2 linked regions of the Saccharomyces cerevisiae S288C genome follow. The protein of the gene in region 1 interacts with the protein of each later gene in a pairwise test. Each region holds a gene or a part of one and is shown on either strand. Other genes may lie near its edges. The genes, in order: GIR2 and RBG1.

Region 1 (3,589 bases):
GCAACAACAAGATAGCATCCCTGACTTAATCGATCTTGACGATAGTACTAGCACCACGAATAATATAACAATAGACAATGGTAATAATGACAACAAAAACAATAATATCAACAGCAATAGTGATGATGATGATGATGAGTTTGGCGACTTCCAAAGCGAAACGAGTCCCGACACAACAGCACCTAAAACTTCCAATAGTAAAATAGATGATTTGCTTGACTGGGATGGCCCAAAGTCAGACACAGATACCACCGCTGCTGCGCAAACATCATTGCCCTTTGCGGAGAAAAAACAGCAAAAAGCCCGTCCTCAGGCTACAAAGGACAAGTCGAAGGGAAATGATGCATTTTCCGACTTATTCTCTTACTCCAAGTCGTTGGTCTAATCACCAAATACCCCTTCATCTCCCAATACATTCAATACAGTCAACAAATTTTCATTCTCAGATATATGTATCCATATATACACTAATAATATCTTACTAAAAACTTGTCTATTTCCTTCTTCAAATGTCAGTTTTCTTTTTATTGAATATCAAAAAAATATTATATAGATACATTTGTATATGTCATTATCCATGCAGAAGAAAATACTTAAATACTTAAGTACACAAGTATTTATTGATTTGCTATTTCGGTCTTGGCAAGTCCCTTGGCTACGTCATCTACACTCGCGTCATCCTCTTCCATATACTCGTCGCCTGTGCCCACCACGCCTTGTTCAAACATTTGCTTACCGGTTAGCTTCCCATGATGAGCCTTCATCCTTCTCACCTGGTCTCTTTCATCCAGTTTCAGTTCTTGGCGAAATTTAGACCTCCATTCCAAGTACGATTCTCTTGTGACTTTAGTACCATGGAACTTGGCCTGTTCCTTCTTTTCACGTTCTTGTGCTTCCAGCTCGTACTGCTTCTCGAGCTTATTCAATTGTTCACTATACCATTGCTCACATCTTTCTTTTATGGATGAAATCAATGCAAAACACATTTGCATACCCAATAACATATCGGTTTCGATTTGCGATTCTAATTGTACGGTTAATTCAGGCAAGTACCCCTTAAAGCTTATTAAATCTGGCAGGTTTTCAAACTTTTTCAGTACTTTATTACCATGGTCGTCATATTCAACCTCGTCTTCATCTTCCTCGTTATCTTCTTCGTTGTCATTGAGGGCTACTTCTTGAGCTTCCAATGAAATCAGGCATGGTTCGTCAGGGTAGTTTTCTGGTAACTTGAATTCGGCGATTATAGTGTGCTCTTTGGTTAAAACAGAAGTAGAATCACCTGTATCCAGCTCTAATTTAATGGCTACTTCAAATTTAATCTTTGGGTATTCATCGTTTATGATCCTCAGTTCATCAGGATAAATGGACTCTAAAACTTCTAGTTCCTGCTTCTGTTCTTCCTTATAATCCATAGTATTAACAAGTGCCTTCTGGATATGGAGGGAGGGCTTTTCCTTAAATTATACCAACCGACAGCATGGGAAACTCAGCTCTTTAAAGCCAATCTAACGATGCCTGCTGATTTTACAATTGGAAAATAGAAAATTTTCATTTTCCACCTTCTGTTACCCGAGTTTATAGACCTAGGATTTCCAATCATTACTTATTAGGACATTCGGGAAAAATATACATATATGGCCCACTTCTCTCACATCTCTTTTAGGGTCTGTGCCAATGGCACCCAAATTTTTCTTCTTTCTTTTTCGCTCGTATTCTCTCACGCTCTTGATCAGTGTGAGCAGTTACTAATATACTGGATCAGAGAACATTAACTCAAAGGTTGATAGTGTAGATCATTGGACATAGTGTGACGGTTTTGCACTCTTGTTGCGCTTGCTCTCTTAACAAGTCACATCTTATTTAGCCTCTTCACCCATAAGTTGATTGTAAAGCCGTAGAACCCTATATCACAGTCTCTTCGGCAACTCAACCAATAAGAACTATTAAGGATTAACACTAGCCATGATGCCGAATGTTGCTCCAAACAGCTACTATTTAAACATACCGAATGCCAATTCGACCTCAACGACTACGTCCTCGATCTTTTCTGATCTCAACAAGGAGTACGAGTCAAAGATTAAAGAAATCGAAGAATATTATATAAAGACACTGCTCAATGAAAATACCGATAATGATGACAGCAGCAGCTCCGAGGGGCATAATATAAATGAAACGGACATTTTAAGTGAATACTCACCAAGGCCTTCTCCTTGGTTACCATCCAAACCAAACTGTTATCATCCGTTGGGAGATTTTAAAGACTTGATCATATCAGATTCCAGACCTACAAATACATTACCTATTAATAACCCTTTCGCAGGCAATAATAACATCTCAACACTTGCTACAACTGAGAAAAAACGTAAGAAAAGGTCACTCGAAGTTGAGATTAACCCTACTTACACGACAAGTGCATTTTCATTACCCCTGACAGCGGAGAATTTACAAAAACTATCTCAGGTGGATTCTCAGTCTACTGGACTTCCATACACACTTCCAATTCAGAAAACAACAAAACTGGAACCTTGTAGAAGGGCACCTTTGCAGCTTCCTCAATTAGTCAATAAGACCTTATACAAAACTGAGCTCTGTGAATCTTTTACTATTAAAGGCTATTGTAAGTATGGAAATAAATGCCAATTTGCTCATGGTCTTAATGAACTGAAATTCAAGAAAAAATCAAACAATTATAGAACTAAACCTTGCATAAATTGGTCGAAGTTAGGCTACTGTCCGTACGGTAAGCGTTGCTGTTTCAAACACGGTGATGATAAGGACGTTGAAATATATCAAAATGCTAACGATGGAAGAAGTAAGGATACGGCGTTGACTCCACTTCCTACTTCCCTAGCCCCAAGCAACAACGATAATATCACTAATTTGAGTAAGCCTAGGAACTTACATACTAGTGTTAAAGCATTGCAAAGGATGACTTGGTAGTCGGTCAACAACAAAGCCCTTTGAATATTTGGCGTATTTCTGCTGCCTCTCCTTATTTATTTATTCATTATCGTTTTCATATTTATTTCAGTCACAAAACAAAATTAAAGAATTCGTGACCTACTAACATGAGAATTAGTTAATTTAATCTTTTTAGTTTATTTATTTCATTAGGTAGAATTTTTTTTTCTTTCTCTGATCTTTCAGTGTTACTCATCGGTGGCAAACGTGTTTACAGGACTAAAAATCGAAATAATGATTATTATTGTTCTTAATTTACTTAGAGTTATTTAGTTTTTTTAACTATCGTAAATTGCCAAATGATCGGCTTTGTGGTACTCTATGTCTTAGAGACCTTGTAGATACGGACCTTCTCGATGCGCTAAGTCTTTTACTGGAGCTCTTTGTATTTTCGCCGGGCAATGGGAAAATCTTTCCTGAATACATATTATCTGTTGGATCATCAGCGATGTCCTCTAAACTTATCCCTTGCATGTTCCTTTGAAGTAAATAACGTAATGAATTATACCAAATATTGTGTCTTTGCCTTGTAGGACAAGTAAACTTAATAGTCCTAGTTTCTGTGGTAACAACAATACTTTTGTGATACAATCCTGTTGGATATGGGTTTGGGTCTGTGACACTT
Region 2 (3,708 bases), on another chromosome or scaffold:
TTCGGTAGTCGTGAATCTTTGCTCACCAACTACAGCAGCAGTAGCAACAAAGAAGGCCGCAATTGATTTGTATATACGAAACAATACAATACTACTACAGAAATTCGTTGGACAGTACTTGCAGATGGGCAAAAAGATAAAAACATCTTTAACACAGGCACAAACCGATACAATCCAATCACTGCCCCAGTTTTGTAATTCGAATGTCCTCAGTGGTGAGCCCTTGGTACAGTACCAGGCATTCAACGATCTGTTGGCACTCTTTAAGTCATTTAGTCATTTTGGAAATATCTTGGTTATATCATCACATTCCTATGATTGCGCACTTCTCAAATTTCTTATTTCCAGGGTGATGACCTACTATCCACTAGTGACCATCCAGGATTCTTTGCAATATATGAAAGCAACCCTGAACATATCCATCAGTACATCCGATGAGTTCGATATTCTGAATGATAAAGAACTGTGGGAGTTTGGCCAAACCCAGGAAATTCTAAAACGTAGGCAGACGAGCTCAGTCAAGAGGAGATGTGTCAATTTACCAGAAAACTCTACGATCGATAACAGAATGCTTATGGGTACCACAAAGCGAGGTCGCTTTTGAAGAGCCCTCGGTAGCATAACATTTTTAATTATTACGACTGTTTTTTTTATTCATTATGTAGAGATAATTAAATGTTATAGATGCTCTATACTCAAACGGTGGAAGAAAAACAGCGAAAAAAAATAACCGATACCCCCTTTTCGAATACAAATGCTTGTATATTCAATTATGAATTATTTTTTTTTTTTTTCATTTCTTATATTATTTTTTGTTCGAGAATCACTTTTTCAAGATGGTAACAACATCTTCGTCTTCCAAAATGTGACTCAACCCCACGTATTGAGGTTGATGTTTGACACTGCTACCGTAAACCAGAGCATTTCTAAAGTCGTCCACTAAAGATTTATGAATTTGGTTACAAAAATCCTTGACACTGCAACGGTCTGATCTTAGCACCACAGGGTCGGTAAAATCTGGTATTTGGCCCTTTGGTTTAGTGTAAATACGGACTAGATTTAGTCTATCCCACATGACTTGCAACAGCTCGTCCAAGTTCCAATCTTGACCAGACGAAATAGGCACGGCATTAGGAATTCGGTAAAGTAATTCCAATTCCTCTATTGACAGAGAATCAATCTTGTTTAACACATAGATGGCAGGCATGTATCTTCTTGACGAAGCTTCCAAAACATCAATCAAATCATCCACAGTGGCATCACACCTGAAGGCAATCTCAGCGCTATTTATTCTGTACTCGCTCATAACGGCTCTGATTTCGTCATTCCCCAGATGGGTCAATGGGACTGTGTTTGTGATGGAAATACCACCTTTCTCTTTTTTTTTGATCAAGATATCTGGCGGAGTTTTATTCAGACGAATCCCCACACCTTCCAGTTCCTTCTCAATGATTTGCTTATGATGCAAGGGTTTGTTCACATCTAGGATGATAAATAACAGGTTACAGGTTCTTGCCACGGCAATAACTTGCTTACCTCTACCTCTACCATCCTTAGCACCATCGATAATACCAGGTAAATCCAACATTTGGATCTTGGCACCTTTATAACGAATGACACCGGGGACGGTAACCAGGGTGGTAAACTCGTACTCAGCTGCTTCAGACTCAGTACCAGTCAACTTGGACAGTAATGTAGATTTCCCCACCGACGGGAACCCGACAAACCCCACACTGGCCACACCAGTTCTAGCCACATCAAAACCAATACCAGCACCACCACCGCTGCCGGATGAAGCACTGGTCAACAATTCTCTTCTCAGTTTGGCCAGCTTGGCCTTCAGTTGACCCAAATGGAAAGATGTGGCCTTGTTCTTTTGGGTACGGGCCATTTCATCTTCGATAGCTTTGATTTTTTCAACTGTAGTAGACATTTTGCTCAATCAACAACTCTACGCTTGCACCTACTGCATCTAGCTTCAAACACTTCCTATCATTGCGCCCTCATCACACCGTAATATCCCATCTTAAAAGTGGAAAACTCTTATAGCTCATCGATGAAAAAAACGGGCCCTCGTCGCTTGTGATGTGAAAAAATTTTTCAAGCTTTAAGCCCATTGAAAGCAAGAGATCTTGCACTAGAATAAGTGGCAAAGGTGAACTTTGAGGGGATAAGAAGGGCAATCAGGAACATCAGATAAGTGAAAGATGGCGAAAAAGAGTAAAAAGAACCAACAGAACTACTGGGATGAGGAATTCGAAGAAGACGCCGCCCAGAACGAAGAAATCAGTGCCACGCCAACTCCAAATCCAGAAAGCAGCGCAGGTGCAGATGACACTTCCAGAGAAGCAAGTGCAAGTGCTGAAGGTGCTGAGGCCATTGAAGGCGACTTCATGTCTACTTTGAAGCAATCGAAGAAGAAGCAAGAAAAGAAGGTTATTGAAGAGAAGAAGGATGGTAAGCCTATACTAAAGTCCAAGAAGGAAAAGGAGAAGGAAAAAAAGGAAAAGGAGAAGCAGAAGAAGAAAGAACAAGCTGCCAGGAAGAAGGCCCAACAGCAAGCTCAAAAGGAGAAGAACAAGGAGTTGAACAAGCAAAATGTTGAAAAAGCTGCTGCTGAGAAGGCTGCTGCTGAGAAATCCCAAAAATCTAAAGGTGAAAGTGATAAACCAAGTGCTAGTGCTAAGAAGCCAGCCAAGAAAGTACCTGCCGGTTTGGCTGCTTTGAGACGTCAATTAGAATTGAAGAAACAACTTGAAGAACAAGAAAAGTTGGAAAGAGAGGAAGAAGAAAGATTGGAGAAAGAAGAGGAGGAAAGATTGGCCAACGAAGAAAAAATGAAGGAAGAAGCTAAAGCAGCTAAAAAGGAAAAGGAGAAGGCAAAGCGTGAAAAACGAAAGGCTGAAGGTAAGCTATTGACCAGAAAGCAAAAAGAAGAAAAGAAATTATTGGAAAGAAGACGTGCCGCTTTATTGTCTTCCGGTAACGTCAAAGTTGCCGGTCTGGCCAAGAAGGATGGAGAAGAAAACAAACCAAAGAAGGTTGTTTACAGCAAGAAGAAGAAGAGAACAACCCAGGAAAACGCCTCCGAAGCCATTAAATCTGACTCTAAGAAAGACTCGGAAGTTGTACCTGATGACGAACTCAAAGAATCCGAAGATGTTTTGATTGATGATTGGGAAAATTTGGCTCTTGGTGATGATGACGAGGAGGGAACCAACGAAGAAACGCAAGAATCCACCGCAAGCCATGAAAATGAAGACCAAAATCAAGGCGAAGAAGAAGAAGAAGGAGAAGAAGAAGAAGAAGAAGAAGAAGAAAGAGCACATGTGCATGAAGTTGCCAAAAGCACACCAGCAGCTACACCAGCAGCTACTCCAACTCCATCCAGCGCTTCTCCAAACAAAAAAGATCTTCGTTCCCCAATTTGTTGTATTTTGGGTCATGTCGATACCGGTAAGACTAAATTGTTAGACAAAATCAGACAAACCAACGTTCAAGGTGGTGAAGCTGGTGGCATCACCCAACAGATTGGTGCCACTTATTTCCCCATCGACGCTATTAAGGCAAAAACTAAAGTTATGGCTGAATATGAAAAACAAACTTTTGATGTCCCAGGTCTTTTGGTTATTGATACCCCAGGTCACGAATCCTTCTCTAACTTACGTTCAAGAGGTTCTTCATTGTGTAACATCGCAATTTTGGTTA

The links.
Region 2: the proteins of GIR2 (region 1) and RBG1 interact in binary tests that used the Saccharomyces cerevisiae proteins (3 or more experiments, as listed by UniProt).

What each region holds. Positions count from the first base shown.
Region 1 is NC_001136.10:763,532-767,120, reverse strand, and holds GIR2 (Gir2p), read right to left. Parts: upstream 1,416-3,589; coding exon 618-1,415; downstream 1-617. Other genes in the region: ENT5 (Ent5p), read left to right, coding at 1-385; putative mRNA-binding protein CTH1, read left to right, coding at 1,966-2,943; NUM1 (Num1p), read right to left, coding at 3,247-3,589. UniProt on the Saccharomyces cerevisiae protein: Acts as a negative regulator of the GCN2 kinase activity by disrupting the GCN1-GCN2 interaction in amino acid-starved cells.
Region 2 is NC_001133.9:74,220-77,927, forward strand, and holds RBG1 (GTP-binding protein RBG1), read right to left. Parts: upstream 1,934-3,708; coding exon 824-1,933; downstream 1-823. Other genes in the region: YAL037W (uncharacterized protein), read left to right, coding at 1-604; FUN12 (translation initiation factor eIF5B), read left to right, coding at 2,208-3,708. UniProt on the Saccharomyces cerevisiae protein: Involved in ribosomal function.